4 separate regions of the Mus musculus genome follow, and all the other regions are reported to be linked to region 1. Evidence: microRNA targets listed by miRTarBase, many of them from high-throughput screens and not tested one by one. Region 1 holds a microRNA gene; each other region holds the end of a gene's coding sequence.
What was found. Region 1 holds the annotated microRNA mmu-miR-1950 (UCUGCAUCUAAGGAUAUGGUCA, at 2,522-2,543, opposite strand). A microRNA usually pairs through its seed, bases 2 to 8, with sites in the 3' UTR of a target mRNA and lowers its output. Matches are read on the target gene's strand: a 7mer-m8 pairs with bases 2 to 8, a 7mer-A1 pairs with bases 2 to 7 and ends in A, and an 8mer does both.

Region 1 (4,166 bases):
CAGTCGGAGACGTATCTGAAAGATTGCACCCACGTGCCATTACTTGCGGTGTAACTGTCTAGTTAAATGTAGAGATCACTCTTAAGTGGGCATGGTGGTGAATGGTTGTGATCAGCATTCAGGATGCACAGGGGAATCATGTGCATGTGCATCATGTGCATGTTCAAGGTCACAGTAAGATTCTGCCTTTAAAAGCAAAAGGCAAAAAACAAGACAGGTGCCTCAGCAGGTAGAATCTCCTGGATTTCAGGTATCACAACCTGAATCCAATCTGTGGAACCCACAGTGGAAAGAAAGAACTGAGTCCTAAATGTTACCTTCTCACCTATGCAGTTGAGTATGGGCGTGTCTGCATGCCTTCTATTCTGTTCTATTTTCTTAACAAAGTGACAAGCTATGTTAAGCCTTAGCTGGAACTTTGAATCGCAATTTTGATAAAATGATTTTTGAAAAACTCGAGGTGGGTTAGCAGAATGGCTTAACAAGTGAAGGCACATGCCACCAAGCAAGCCATGTCAGACTGACACTGAGTTGGATTCTATAACCTACACAGTAGAGGACAAAAGTCAATTCCCTGTGTTTCTGCTCTGACTTCCAGAAACATGCTGCGGTCTATGTGTACACACACATACACACATACAAAATAAATATATGTAAAAATTAAAAATAAAGTAATGAACCTAGAGGCTGCTTAGTTAAGCAACCACAACATTAAGAATAGAAAAAGAGAAAATAGTAACTAAATCTTTTCTTACATGCCATTTTCCTTTAAGAAGGGGCTTATTCCAAAACACTACTTATGGGACTCATAAAGAAATACAACATGTTTTTAACTTAATAAACTCCAATATTTATCATAGCACAGCCATTCAAGTGTGCTCATGTCATCTCCCTAATATTGGCAAGTAACAGAGATTCTACATTGCATTCATATGGAGAGCGAGCAACTCCCAAGTGTTATAACTGTATGATGCTAAGAAGACAGTGTTCCCTATTTTATTGATGGAGATATCCTCACTATGCAGCCCTGCTAGGCCTGAAACCTGCTATGTAGACCAGGTTAGCCTTAAACTCACACAGATCTACTTCCATCTGTCTCCCAATCTTCAAATATGCCCCGATGGTTTATAAGGATGTGCTATCTATAAAAGACAAGCTCCCAGATTAGGATTTCCAACCCCAACTAAAAAAGTAATTGCTTTGCCAACTCCTGATGCCTCTTCATCACTATACTTACTTTTAAAATATTTTTTTATCTTTACATAATAAAATTAATGGTGGGCTAGAGTGGGTGCATTGGTGGTGATGCCTTTATTCCTAGTAGAGGCAGGTATATCTCAACAAGTTCCAGGACAGACAGAGCTATACTGAGACTGACCACCTCAAATTTTTAAAATTAAATTTAATTAAGAGTGGGTCTAATTCTATAAGACTCACCAAAACTTCATGCCGAACCACCTTTCTACATTTTTAAGATAGATTAAGATAATCCTAAATTATAGACTTTTAATTATTTAATCTGGGAAGTATGAAAAGTATCAAGACAAGTTGTTATATTCTAGACATTGACTAATCAGTAATAAACTCAAAAAAATAAAAAACCATGAAAATATACAAAATGCTATATATCCTTTCTGATATACTGAGTCTACACAGCTGAGAAGTAATTTTGAAAAGTAATTTTCAACAAGGAGATACAGAAAGAGCCGGCGTCCACTCACTGTCCCGGTGCTCTTTGCTGCAGCCTTTCTTAGTTCCTGGATTTCTTCATCCTTGTGCTTGCAGCTGGAGAGCAGAGCCTTCATCTGTGTCTCTACAGCTGTGACCAGCTGGTCACGCTCTTCTCTCCACTTCTGAAGCTCACTATTTTTCTCTGCCAGCTGTGCTGTCAGTGTTTCCTGGACAACAAGCACAAAGGATGCATACTGAAGTGTAATGACATAGGTATGAAACGTCAACATGGAACCCATTACCTTGTTTCCCAACCTAAAGAACTAACTGAAAAATCAAACATAAATCTTTGTAATCTAAGAATGTACTGAGATTTTATTAAATATAACACATGAATAATATATATATTACGCATTCATGTGTGAATGAAATGCTTATAAAATACAAAACACCATTTTATCTTTTAAGTATATTTGCCAGGAGCAGTGGTTCACACCTTTAATCCTAACACACAGTAGTCAGAGGCAAGTCGGTTCCAGGCTAGCCTGGTCTACACAAAGAGTTCTAGGCTTGCCAAAGCTAATTAGTGAGAACCTAACTCAAAAATAAATAAATTTCTATAAATCATATTTGTTCTTATACCACCTACAAAAAAATCAATTATTAGAAATTTCTTTCAATAAATAATAATTATAGTATTTATAATATTATTTCCAATATTTGAATAAAAAAATAAAACTATAGTAAAACAAATGACATACCTTATAGTAACTAAAAATAGGAAAATGAAGCAGAAAACTGGCTGCTTTTTCTGCATTTAAGGAGATGATCATGGAAAAAAACAATTAAATGACCATATCCTTAGATGCAGAAAAAGCATTTGGCCGGGCATGGTGGCGCACGCCTTTAATCCCAGCACTCGAGAGGCAGAGACAGGCGGATTTCTGAGTTCGAGGCCAGCCTGGTCTACAAAGTGATTTCCAGGACAGCCAGGGCTACAGAGAAACCACGTCTTGAAAAACCAAAAGAAAAAAAAAAAGCATTTGACAAAATACAACACCCCTTCATGTTAAAGGTATTGGAGATCAGGAATTCAAGGCCCATACCTAAACATGATAAAAGCAATTTACTGCAAACCAACAGCCAATATCAAATTAAATGGAGACATACTTGAGGCAATCTCACTAAAATCGGGGACAAGAAAAGGATTCCCACTCTCCCCATATCTATTCAATATAGTACTCAAAGTGTTAGCTAAATAAGACAACAAAAGGAGACCAAGGGGATACAAATTGGTAAAGAAGAAATAAAGGCATCACTATGTGCAGATGACATGATACTATACATAAGTGGCCCCAAAACTCTACCAGAGAAGTTCTCCAGCTAGTAAACAACTTCAGCAAAGTGGCTGGATAAAATAAATCAGTAGCCTTCCTTTATACAAAGGATAAACAGGCTGAGAAAGAAATTAGGGAAACAACTCCTTTCACAATAGCCACAATAATATAAAATATCTTGGGGTAACTCTAACCAAACAAGTGAAAGATCTTTATGACAATAACTTCAAGTCTATCAAGAAAGAAATTAAAGACCTCAGAAAATGGAGAGACCGCCCATGCTCATGGATTGGCAGCACCAACAGTAAAGATGGCCGTCCTACCAAAGGCAATCTACAGAGTCAGTGCAATCCCCATCAAAATCCCAACACATTCTTCAGACACTGAAAAAGCAATGCTCAAATTCATCTGGAAAGGCAAAAACAAAAACAAAAACAAAAGCAGAAAAAGAATAGTGAAAACAATTCTTAACAACAGAAGAATGGCTGGGGGAAATCACCATCCCTGACTTCAAGCTTAAATACTACAGAGCAATAGTGATTAAAAACTGCATGGTATTGTTACAGAGACAGACACATTGATCAATGGAATAGAACTAAAGACCCACAAATAAAACCACACACTTACAGGCACTTGATCTTTGACAAAGAAGACAAACATACAATGGAAAAAAGAAAGCATCTTCAATAAATGGTGCTGTGCTGGTATAACTGGCTGTCTGTATGTAGAAGAATGAAAATAGATCCATATTTGTCACCTTGCACAAATTGCGGTTGAATAAGGGAAAAGCTGGAAGAAGCTGAGGAGGAGGGCGACCGTGTAGGAGGACCAGCAGTCTCAATTAATCTGGATCCCCGAGATCTCTCAAACACTGGACCACCAACCAGGCAGCATACACCAGCTAATAAGAGGCCCCCAACACATATACAGCAGAGGACTGCCAGGTCTGGGTTTAGCCTGAGAAGCTATACCCCTCAAGAGACTGGAGGCCCCAGGAAGTTTAGAGGTCTGCTTGTGTGAGAGGTGTGGGGTGAAGGGTGAAGACATCCTCATGGAGACAGGGGCATGAGAAGGAGGTATGGGATGTGGAATGTGGAACAGTTGGAGGGTGGACCAGGAGGGGAATAAAATGTGGAGTTTAAGAAAGAGAGAGGGGCG
Region 2 (4,166 bases), not on the chromosome of region 1:
GTCTAGTCTTATTTGACATGCTCTTTGGTTGATATCCATGGAAGGCCTGCCCTTTTCTGAAGAGAAATGGAGGGGTAGGTGGGGGAAATGCAGGGAGAGAGTGGGGGAGAGGAAACTGTGGTCAGGATGTAATATATGAGAAAATGAATTTAAAAACACCTTCAGCCAGGCTCATGCCTTTAATCCCAGCACTTAGGAAGCATAGGCAGGTTGATCTCTGTGATTGAGGCCAGGCTAGTCTGCAGAGTGAGTTAAAGGACAGCTGGAGCTACACAGAGAGACCCTGTCTCAAAACAGCAACAAAACAAAACAACAACAAACAACAACAAATAGACAAAAAAAAAAAAAACCCCAACCAACCAAACAACAAACCTCTGTCCCTTTTCTCAGCCAATGTCTCTTGCTTTTCAGGAGAGAAATATGAGCTGCACGCTGGAACTGAGTCTACACCGAGCGTCGTGGTGCATGTGTGTGACAGCGACATGGAGGAGGAGGAGGACCCAAAGACTTCCCCAAAGCCAAAAATCATCCAGACCCGGCGTCCCGGCCTGCCACCCTCCGTGTCCAACTGAGCACGTCCATGATAACATGCATCTCCTCTTATCATGCTTCCCGCCCCCCCCCTTGTTGTTTGTCCAAACAATTAATTGCCTTTAAGTCCCTGGGTGTTTGGTTGTTTGCGAATCCTTCCTTGTAATTAAGCCTCTCGGACAAAAGGGCTAGGCAAAGGTGATATGTCTCCCAATCAACTCCTACCCATTAACTACAATCCATCACTTAGAAAGTTCTAGATAGAGGGTAGTATTTTCTTATTAAATAATCAGTACAGCCCATATCTCTGTTCTTTCATGTTGATCCAAGCCAGAGACATCGGTAATGAAGAGCCTTTATGTTGTTTGTGAGCTGCTCCAGTTCAGTCCTGTGTGTGTGTGTGTGTGTGTGTGTGTGTGTGTGTGTGTGATGTTTTTTTCCTGGCCACTTATATAGGACCATAAGTAAACTTGGCTTTGACTGCATGAGATCCCCCTATCTGGTCTCACCCAGTCCTCTGCATCCCGACATTCCCAGGACATGCACGATCACCAGCATTGATTTTGATGATTTTGAGGGTATGCCCCAACTTGTGGTATCCCAGCCCTGTCCTGTATAGACAAGGGGCATCCGCAGCACCATTCAGCTCAATAAGTCTGGGAATCATTATTAGTTTGAGTCAATTACATCATATAACTCTGGCCAAATTCCTGGAGGTAAAATTGAGCATGGCCCCAAAGATGTTGAACATCACTACCACAGAGGTCTACCCAGTGTTACTGGGGAGGCTTGTCCAAGTGACAGAGACCGATTTCAGACAAACCTATTTATTATAAAATCTCATAGTGTCTGAATGACTGTCCCCTACCCCTTTGTATATTTGTACAGATGTTTGAGCTGTGCTTTTAAAATCTGGATGTTTTTTATTTAGTGATTGTTCAACCATTAGCTGCTTAATGACATCATACCTGTGTTGCTTCTGAATGCATTCTGATTCTAATGTAGATAACCTGATACTATTACATGCTATTGCGGTTCGTGCTAAGTTGTAAAAGGGAACAGCAATGTCTCATGCCAATAGATAACTGACTAGCCAACCTTTGCTGTCCAAACCACCTGTTTCCAAACAAAGATCCAAGTATCAGTTATAAGCAACTTGGGTGACGCTAAATCCAAGAAATGTATACAGCTGAGCATTTCAGAGCACAAAGGATGATGGGTAAACGGATGCCCTTCCCATTCATCCAATGCCCATGCGCTCAAAAGTTCCTTGTTTTTGTTATGTGTGACTTTTGTATATCTCTAGCCCAAAGTGCATTACAGAAGATACACCTGCAGAACCATACTTTCTGCTCCATGTGTCAAGCCTCATCTATTCCTGTTCATTAACTAGTAACTTTGGATGCAAATACCATTTACCACACAACAGGCAAGGACTTTCATGGCCTAAGCCTCGGAGTAACACACAAGAACACTAACACAGCCACCTGATGGGGGGATAATTGTGGTTTTTTGATTAAGGTGTATGTTAGTTTCCGCAGAAACTTCAAACCTAGACTGATCATTCAGAAAATTAAAAGTCCGTTCTACTGTGAAATATAGCAATATAGTGCCGGACACGGTACAGTACGATTGAGACCGAGGACAGTATTGCTTGTGGAATCCTAAGTTTCCATGGGGAAAACAAGTCGTCTTTTCAAAATCAGATCTGAGGAGTGTACACAGTAAGCAAAGGCTTTGACTTTCCTTTGTTGTGGAAGGTTTTGTTTTCTTTTTTTTAAATTGGCCATGGAAAGACTAGAAATAGTGGCGAGATGATGCCCTCTCGTGGCAGAAACAGTGAAATCGGTTGTATAGATGGATTGATTACAACAGTCAACTACCAGGGGCTGACCTTCTAATCCACATTAACTTTCAGGATGCAGGAGAGAGAGAGAGAGAGAGAGAGAGAGAGAGAGAGAGAGAGAGAGAGAGAAACAAAATGAAAGTCTGGGAAATAATTTGCGCTTCCAAACAATGATAGCAGAAATGTCTAATTTAGTAAAAGTTGAGTGTGACTACCTTGCATAGTCCTTAAGAACTCAGTGTTCTAGACGGCCCAGATGATTAGTCTTAGTAAACTGTATTGCCATCTGTTGACGTTAACCTGCTACAGATCAAGGGGTTCTCGCGCTAGATTGAGCATGGGGACGGGGGAGGGGGAGCTTTCCCCAGAAGGAATGGGGAAGCCACGGGACCTCCCAGCATCGAGAAAGTCACCTGGACACTTCCATGATGCTCATTATGCAAACCTCTTTAGCGCTCTTTTAAGTTTGAAACGTTTTTAAATGGAGGGGAAGGGGAAGGTTTCCACCAACTGAATCATTTGTGCACGTGTACAGCTCAAAGAGCTTAGAGTTCAAATATATCTGGTGAATGACTGTCTGTGTGGCATCATTTCTGACTTGTCTGCCTGGACTAAGGATCCCTGAGGCTGGGGAGGTGGGGGAGTGCAAGCCAGCTTGGAGTTTTCTGAAGGGTAACCAACGTATGGAGCTAACCCAATGATATTCTTCCTAATGAACTAGGAGGGAAGCTGGTAATAGCATTCCCATGAAGAAGTTATTTAAGCCAAGCCTGGAAAGATGGGTTGGCTTCTCATTAAGGGGGCTCAGAAGGTTATTTTACTGTCAAGTTCAACCATACTGATTCCAAAAGGCATTTCAAGTGTGCTAAGAACACCTTTTTAAAAATTAGATATTTTCTTCATTTGCATCCCAAATGCTATCCCGAAAGTCCTCTATACCTCCCCCCCCACCCTGCTCCCCAACCCACCCACTCCCACTTCCTGGCCCTGGCATTCCCCTGCACGGGGGCATATAAAGTTTGCAAGACCAAGGGGCCTCTCTTCCCAATGATGGCCGACTAGGCCATCTTCTGCTACATATGAAGCTAGAGCCACGAGCTCTGGGTGTACTGGCTATTCATATTGTTGTTCCACCTATGGGGTTGCAGACCCCTTCAGCTCCTTGGGTACTTTCTCTAGCTCCTCCATTGGGGTCCCTGTGTTCAGGACTAAGAACATTTTTTAACACCTTCCCACTATGTTCTTTAAAAACACTAACAGGAAGCCCTCTGATAGAGAGCCCTTAAACAATAAAAGAAATGCTCGTGAAATATAAAAGGTTTGCTTTCTGGAAATCATTAAGGTTAGAGCCGATACACATGGAGGAGTTAAATAACTCACAGCCAAGCAATGGTTCTCAACCTCTCTAACACTGCGACCCTTTAATACATGTCTTCATGTCTTGGTGACACCTAACCATAAAATTATTTTCATTGTTACTTCCTAAGTGTAATTTTGCTACTGTTATGAATCATAATATAAATATCTGTATTTTTCCAATGTTCTTTAGGGGGTCAAAACCCACAAGTTGAGAATTGCTGCTCTAAAAGCCAGTTGTAAAAGACATACAATACTTTCTTTTTGATGATTAACCTACATCGGGCAATTCACATAGATCCATGTGCCTTAACTATCTGAAGGCCCATAAACAGTCAAAGGTGCTCCACCTCACCTCTTGTCAGTCAAGAAGAAACCTCAAAGGTGAACATACCTGGCCTCTAGCAGCAGTGAAGTGTGCAGAACTAGGGAG
Region 3 (4,166 bases), not on the chromosome of region 1:
GCTTGGCTTGGCAGGAAACTGGTTCCACACCTACCATTTTCAATTCTGAGATTCTCCGGGGTTTTGAACTTACTTCAATCTTACCAGTTTTTCTGTCTGGTGGCACGGTCTGCTTGCTCCACATTGCTTAATCTGGAAAAAACAAAAAACAAAAACAAAAAAAAAACAACTTCCCAACATTTTTCTTTCAATAATGCCATTTGTGCTCTTTCCTAAAGATTCCTCCTGTTTTAAGTTGTTAATAATTTTATTATTCAAACAAAACTAATGCCCATCCTTTTTTTTCTGTTTCAGTACCATCATCCATATTATAACAGCATGATATAATAGCAGAAACATATTTTCTGATGCCTCTGAAAGCCGAAGAATGCTCGTTTTTGATTCCATCACTTCTCACCAGATTGAATGGAAAAAGCTCTGAAAAGTAGTTATTCAAAATAAATGGACACCTACTGCACAATAACCCAAGGACTAGGGGGCTAAAATGCTCCCCCAAGTTGATATATTGATTTCCAGTGTACAAATGGACTGAATCGCATAGATTTTCTCAGCCATTAACCATAGAATTTATGCAAAGTATATCTTTCCAAATATGGAATGCTCCAATCAGAAAAAGACTATCATTGGTTGTTGAGTTACTGACTGTCTTAGTCAGGGTTTCTATTCCTGCACAAACATCATGACCAAGAAGGAAGTTGGGGAGGAAAGGGTTTATTCGGCTTACACTTCCATACTGCTGTTCATCACCAAAGGAAGTCAGGACTGGAACTCAAGCAGATCAGGAAGCAGAAGCTGATGCAGAGGCCATGGAGGGATGTTCTTTACTGGCTTGCTTCCCCTGGCTTGCTCAGCCTGCTCTCTTACAGAACCAAGACTACCAGCCCAGGGATGGTCCCACCCACAAGGGACCTTTCCCCCTTGATCACTAATTGAGAAAATGCCTTACAGTTAGATCTCATGGAGGCATTTCCTCAACTGAAGCTCCTTTCTCTGTGATAACTCCAGCTGTGTCAAGTTGACACAAAACTAGCCAGTACACTGGCTCTGTGTAAACAGTGTGTTTCTAAAATCCCAAATGTAGGAAAAATATGCAGATGCACACATATAGGCCACATTTTAGTAATAATATGAAATATACTTAAAGAGCTTTTAAACTTCGTATTTTTATACAAAATATTTGCCTTTTACAATCATTTTCCTTTTTTTAATGTACCTATATGATACATAAAGCCAAAGATAATAATAGCGGTACTAATAAAATTTCATGGAGTTTCTCTTCAGATTTAATCTGTCCAGCTGAAGAAAATTTTTGTTGTATGTGTCTATGTCTGTGTGATTTCTTCAGAACCGTGAATCACATGAAGCATCTGGAAATGCCCTTGTACATTTTGGTGATGGCGGAGCTCAAGCCTGAGAACATCATGACAGCTCATTCAAGTAGGCTGTGCCACTAGCCCAGCACTGGCCACTTCCAGTAAGAGGAAGTGTTAAGCTGGGAAGTGGTGGTGTACGCCTTTAATCCCAGCACTTGGGAGGCAGAGGCAGGCGGATTTCTGAGTTCGAGACCAGCCTGGTCTACAGAGTGAGTTCCAGGACAGCCAGGGCTACACAGAGAAACCCTGTCTTGAAAAACCAAAAAAGAAAAAAAAAAGAAAGAAAGAAAGAGAGAGAGAGAGAGAAAGGAAGAAAGAAAGAAAGAAAGAAAGAAAGAAAGAAAGAAAGAAAGAAAGAAAGAAAGAAAGAAAGAAAGAAAGAAAGAAAGAGGGAAAGGAAGTGTTGACTTGGGATGTGCTTTTGTTCTACTTTGTGGATCTGGAATGATGGAGAAGCATCTGTGGGGACGGACAGAGCACCTGAATCTGGGTGTCTCCAAGGCCCTGGTTTAAGGCTGATTTATAAACAGGCTTAGTGTCAGACTCATATCAGAGCAGGCAAGAGATTATAATGTCACATCAGACAAAGGCAGCCAAGTGATGCTTGCAAGACAGAAACCAGCTACATGCCATTTGGAAAGTAGAATTCTCAAAGCATAACTCCAAGACATGGGCTAAATGAAATGCAAAAGTAAACTTTTGGTTATTTGTTGAACCCTGAAAAGAATCTTCCCTTGTGATTCTAAGACTTGTGTGTACTCCTGTCTTTGCATCTGTTTCATAGCTCAGGCAGAGGGTGAAGGTTGTCCAAGCCCCTGTCCCATGTCACCTATTGTTGGGGCCGGCCTGTGGCTCTCATGTCTGGGTTTGAGCCTGGGATGCATCTTGGAACTGAAAGAAAAGAGGGAATCTAGGCAGGTTGAGAGAGAAATGGAACCAAGACAATATTCTGATCAAGGTTCAACTTTAATGTCAGAGAACACGCTTTATAAAGAAGAGGGGAGGCCCATTCCCAGCTAAGTTTCTTGTGAAGTTGTCAGATCAGTCTTTTAGCAGGAACTCTCGAAAATCACAGTTCAATGTTAACTCTGGAAGATCTTGGGAAACCAGTTCTGCCTCAGGCAGGTAGCAGGTAATGGCACATCAAAGGAGAGGGATGAGAAGCAGCACAGCAGGTGGCTCTGCCTCAGTGGCAGATGGTCTGAGCCAGCCTGACTAGGCTGGAAGGAGGTTACAACCTATATTCTTTCTTCCCTTATAAAGTGTAAGCTTCCAGAGAAGTGATCACATATAAACATTTCAGGTAAGCTTGGAACCCTAGGATGTAATATTTAGCCAAAAGAAAAGGAAATTAAAATTTTAAGACCTGCCTAACCTCTTCAGTTATTAATTTCTATACTAGACAAGGTACATATGTCATGGGAAATCAAAGGTGTCCTTAACGACAACAGCAAATCATAATGGATAAATTGAGCATGTGAACCACCTCAACAAAGAGAGACTTTTAAGCCTTTCCACATGACACATGAAAGTGAACTGTTTTATTCATATTTAATTCTTCTTTAATCTGATCTGTAACCAAACCTCAGTTACTGCTCTTACAGAGGATCTGAGTTCAGTTTTCAGCACCCAAGTTGGAGAACTTTCAACTTTCTACAACTCCAGATCCAGGGAACTAAAAGCCTCCATGACACAGCTGTCATACACCCACACAGATACACACAGACACCTAAGTAAAAAAATTTAAAAATCTTTTTAAAGGGTTTGTTCCTAGACTTATCTTGTTATGCCATATTCAGTGGATATTCCTGGGAGGACTGCTCTTTTCTAAAGAGAAACAGGAAGAGTGGATCTGGGGGAGTGAGAAGAATGGGGGGAGTGGGAAGTTCAGTCAGGATTAATTTTTTTTAAATGAACAAACTTTTTTAAAAAACAGAAAAAAAAGCAAGTATATTAACTGTGATATTTGAATTTGCCAAATGTACACTGGATATACTTATACCTGTCTCACAGAGTCATTGCAAATTTTAATGAGGTGATATGCAGAAATCACCTACTACAGTGTCTGGCTCCAAAGATACATGTCATGCTCTTAGTTCCTTTCTCTGTTTAGAAATCTTTCAAGTACCTGGTTCAGCTAAGGAAATAACAAGTTTTAAGTCATTGCAGACACCTAATAACTTGACCCAGGTAAGTGAGGGAACAGTTCTTTATAGAGTAGTAGCTCCCATTAAAGCAGGCTTGGTTCCATGCCAGGAAAAAATGGAACCTTGGGTAGAAAGCAAGGAAGTAATTTTTCTTTGTCAGAGACAGGCTGACAAGCATGTCTTGAATCCCACTAGGGACATTCCACACACGGGAGGTTGTAAGGGAAAGATTGTAGTAAGTTCTTTATATGGTACATGCTCACACTAGACTAGGAATCAGCAAATATGGCCGATAGTCTGTTTTTATAAACAAACTTGTTAAAACACAGGTTCATTGGTTTATTTACTTTCTGTCACACACAAATGTTTGATCCCCAGCCTATGGCATCACTGGGAGATGAGGTCTTGTGAGAGGGAACTGTGTCACTGGGAAAATGTCTTTCTATCTCTTTACTTCATGGCCACAATAAGGTAGATGGGCCTTTGCTACCACATTGTTCCCACTGCCATAAGCCCAAGGCAGTAGGAGCAAGAGACCTCTGAAGCCTCTAAAACTATGAAATGAAAGAAAATCTTTTCCTTCTTCTACCTTGCGTTTGTTGAGTATGTAGTGATGGAAACTAATGCAGTGCCTGAGGTGGTTGCT
Region 4 (4,137 bases), not on the chromosome of region 1:
GGTTTATCCTGACGTTACAAACCAGCAATGTGCATTAGCATTCAGTGAACTCGAGATGATGACTAATCTCTGGGTCTCTGCTTAGGTTCTAGGAGCTGCCTTTGTGAATCAGCCGCTCACAGTCCAGGTGGTCTTCTCAAACCCGCTCTCAGAGCCGGTTGAGGACTGTGTGCTGACCTTGGAAGGAAGTGGTCTCTTTAGAAAGCAGCAGAGAGTTCTGTAAGTGCTGGGAGCACTCTGTCTTCCCTCTCAATGTTTCCTCCCTTTCGTATTATCAGGCCCCTAGGCCAGACACAGGACGCTGGAAAACAGAGTCCAGGAACTGACAAGGAGAGGGGTTTTCTGACATTCTCCTCTCTCTTTGCAGCATTGGCGTCCTCAAACCCCATCACAAAGCCAGCATCACTCTGAAGACCGTCCCCTTCAAGAGTGGCCAAAGGCAGATCCAAGCTAATCTGAGGAGCAATAGGTTTAAAGACATCAAGGGCTACAAGAACGTGTATGTAGACATTGGCTTATAAACTCTGAGACAGAGGCTGGAGAGATGGCTCAGCGGTTGACAGGATGTGACAGTCCTTTGCAAAGGACTTGGGTTCAATTTTCCAGAACCCACAAGGTGGCTCACAATCCTCTGTAACCCCATTTTCAGGGGAATCCAACCAGCATACATGGTGCACATACATGCATGCAGAAAAAAAAAAAAAACCCCGACTTTCATACACATAAAGTGAAAATAAATAAATCTAAAATTTTTTAAAATTTCATTTAAAATAAACTCCGAGATATGGCAGCAGTATGGATTTTAAAATGAAGGCCTAACCAAACTCTGTCATCAACATCAAGGGAGATGCCAGAGATAGCTAGTTTACACAACTTGTCGGGACTCTACCCAGGGATTCTACCTTACAGAAGTGTGATTTGGCACAGAGGTCAAGGGAAGACAGGCTTAGCAGCTCTCTATCTCTTTGTATCTGCGCCGATGTCACAGCATGGGCAAACCCCATTCCCTTCCTTGCCCTCACCCTTCACTTTCCCTTCAGAGCTCCAATGGCCCTTCAGTTGCTAATGAGTTCCCTGTTGTTTCAAGGTCTAAGCCCATCCACTCATTCAAGAAGTATTCACTGAGTGTCCAGAGTATAGCAATACCACTCTGAGTATAAGAGACAAGCAAAAGCCCTGGCATGCTGAGCCCTCATTCTAGAGGGAACAGGGAAAATAGACATCCTGGCAGGTGCCCATCACAACGTAGGCAAAGGGCAAAGATCCCCAAGGTTTCTTATACCCATGTCCTGCCTCAGTTTCTTGGCAAAAAGAGAGTAAAATAAAATCCTGGCAGATCTCTCCCTCAGGTCTTCCCTTAACTATACTTCCCGTATAGCATTGACATTATTGCTCAGTACTCTCAGTCCCAGGGTCTCCATCCAATTCACTGTGTCCTTACAGGTCTGCCATTGGCTGGCAGTCGGGAGGTAAAAGCCAACTGAATGATGTAATGAGGTAGATATTTGGTGGGAATGAACTAGCCTCTGGTCTCAGCGTACACTGAAGGTCGCTCAAACCCTGCCCTCTCAGGGTGCTACACACAGAGCAACTTTGCACCTGTTTACCCGGGCCACTGCCAATGAAAGGCATGATGGATGCTGCCCTCCAGGCACTGGCTACTGTGACTGAGGCAGAGGTCCTAGTAAGTGTTCAGTCATTAAATAGAAGTTAACGACTTCCATTACACATAAACAAAAAGGGTCAATGTCGTTAATCTCAATCAGAGAAGGGGTGTGGTGGGAATTACCTTGTAAGCCGATTGTCCTGTATCTGAGAACCAGGAGCTGGCAGCACAGCTGGAAGTAACCTACAATTACTTTACCCTATAATTACCACATGACAAGAATAAGAAAGCATTTAAGGAAAACACCGTGGAGTGGCACACCTGAGAGTCAGTGAACTCTGAAGTACTTGGGAGTCTTCAGCTGCCACATTCTCAAGCTTGTCCATGAGTCCTGTTGTCAACTCCACATTCATCAGCTCCCTCAACAAATAGTGGCTGAGTTTCTTCTTTCAGGCACAAGGCCCTGAGGCAGCGGGCACCGAGTATATACACGAAGGCCCTGAGGCAGCGGGCACTGAGTACATACACGAAGGCCCTGAGGCAGTGGGCACCGAGTATATACACGAAGGCCCCGAGGCAGCGGGCACCGAGTACATACACGAAGGCCCCGAGGCAGCGGGCACCAAGTATATACACGAAGGCCCTGAGGCAGCGGGCACCGAGTACATACACGAAGGCCCTGAGGCAGCGGGCACCGAGTATATACACGAAGGACCAGAGCGGGTGCACAAGGGGCTCAAGCACAGGCATTTGAAGAATGTGGAATAGGTGGGAGATTTTTAAAGACTTTTAATTTTTTTTATTTTAACGTTTTTACATTTATTTTTAGTGAGTGTTCCGTGAGCACACATGCATGTGTGTGAACATGCATGTATGGCCACATGAATGTCGTAGCATGCAGTCAGAGAACAACTTGACAACTTCTACCACATGACTCAGGTCATCAGACTTGGCAGCAAGTGCCTTTACCCACTGAGCCCTCTCACCTACTGTCTTCGTCAGGGCTTCTATTCCTGCACAAACATCATGACCAAGGAGCAAGTTGGGGAGGAAAGGGTTTATTCAACTTACACATTCACATTGCTGTTCATCACCAAAGGAAGTCAGGACTGGAACATATACAGGGCAGAAAGCAGGAGCTGATGCAGAGGTCATGGAAGAGTGCTGCTTACTGGCTTGCTTCCCCTGGCTTGCTCAGTTTGCTTTCTTATAGAATCCAAGACTACCAGCCCAAGTATAGCACCATCCACAATGGGCCCTCCCCTCTTAATCACTAATTGAGAAAATGCCTTACAGCTGGATCTCATGGAGGAATTTCCTCACCTGAAGCTCCTTTCTCTGTGATAACTCCAGCTTGTGTCAAGTTGACACACAAAACCAGCCAGCACAACTACCAAGGAGATTTTTAACAGAGTCCAAGGAAGTAGTAGAAGCCCTTGTTTTTTCTCACCATATTTATAGCAAGAGAGTCTGAGACTGGCTGTGTGGGAAGGGCAGGCAGTGGCAACAGCTAAACCTTGTTGCCTAGGCTCTGCTGCTCTCTGATCTTTGGCTTAATTAAACCATTTCCCAGCCTTTCTTCATCAGGTGAGCACTCACATGCAATATGTAACACCTCTACACCTACCTCTGAGGCTTCATTTTCTAGTATCCAGCTTGGGACTGGCTGCTTTTCCCTAAGCATAACAAGAATAACTTGATTTCAAACTGTTGTTATCAGAACCCAGAGTTCCCCTGCTTCCTCTAGGATGAGGCTTGGCTTTCTTTAACCATATGAGAGCAAGGAGCTTCCTGAAGGGAGGCAGGCCAGGAGCCTGGACTAGCCAAGGTGTCTAGGGACTGTTAAGTCTGAGAACATGAGTGAATCTGTGGGCATGTGTGTGTGTGTGTGTGTGTGTGAGAGAGAGAGAGAGAGAGAGAGAGAGAGAGAGAGAGAGAGAGAGAGAGAGAGAGAGAGAGAGAGATCTGTGTTCAACTTCAGGCTCTGGATGATGCTAATTTACTCTAGAGAATATTCTCTCTGCCAGTTCAAATGGGGGTAAAGCATTGTAATTGGGGCTGATTTAAAACTGGTTTCTGGACCTGAGATGCCTCAGTGGTTAAGAGCATTGGCTGTTCTTGCAGAGGACCTGGGTTCAGTTCCCAGCACCCATACGGCAGCTCACAACTAACTACCAGCTCACAACTAACTCCAGATCTGATGCCCTCCTCTGACCTCCATGGGCACTGCACACGCATTGTGAAATTAATTTATTAAAATAAAATAATTTTTTAAATTATAAAATAAAATTGCTTTCTGTCTCCTATTTACTGTTTTCTCCTGGAGTCCCTTTTTGGCCCCAATCAAAATTGTGAAGTATTTACTGGGACCCTTCACCCTTGGAGAGCCTAGAACTCCATTTTTGTGAGGCTGCCAGATGATCTCAGATTCCCACACATTTACCTGCCAACTATAAATCAGCAAATGTCCATGGAAAGGCAGGAGCTGGGATCAAGATCATTTCTATGCACGCTCCTCCAAAGATCTTGAC

Region 2: miRTarBase lists Rcan2 as a target of mmu-miR-1950. Seed matches in the 3' UTR shown: 7mer-m8 at 2,450-2,456.
Region 3: the mRNA of Colec12 is a reported target of mmu-miR-1950. Seed matches in the 3' UTR shown: 8mer at 795-802 and 7mer-A1 at 1,089-1,095.
Region 4: miRTarBase lists Tgm5 as a target of mmu-miR-1950. Seed matches in the 3' UTR shown: 7mer-A1 at 686-692.

What each region holds. Positions count from the first base shown.
Region 1 is chr19:34,963,779-34,967,944 of GRCm38, reverse strand. It overlaps Mir1950 (microRNA 1950), which reads right to left and starts at 2,549; the gene lies at 2,476-2,549. It overlaps Kif20b (kinesin family member 20B), which reads right to left. Exons shown (of 32, transcript NM_001362434.1): 26 at 1,722-1,898.
Region 2 is chr17:44,036,562-44,040,727 of GRCm38, forward strand. Rcan2 (regulator of calcineurin 2) reads left to right here. Exons shown (of 5, transcript NM_207649.1): 5 at 412-2,955. The coding sequence ends at 572. Among named protein-coding and RNA genes, the nearest start is that of Gm34857, 5.1 kb to the right of the region's middle.
Region 3 is chr18:9,876,694-9,880,859 of GRCm38, forward strand. Colec12 (collectin sub-family member 12) reads left to right here. Exons shown (of 10, transcript NM_130449.2): 10 at 295-1,302. The coding sequence ends at 314. Among named protein-coding and RNA genes, the nearest start is that of Thoc1, 79 kb to the right of the region's middle.
Region 4 is chr2:121,042,763-121,046,899 of GRCm38, reverse strand. It overlaps Tgm5 (transglutaminase 5), which reads left to right. Exons shown (of 13, transcript NM_028799.3): 12 at 86-219; 13 at 368-789. The coding sequence ends at 521. Among named protein-coding and RNA genes, the nearest start is that of Epb42, 8.0 kb to the right of the region's middle.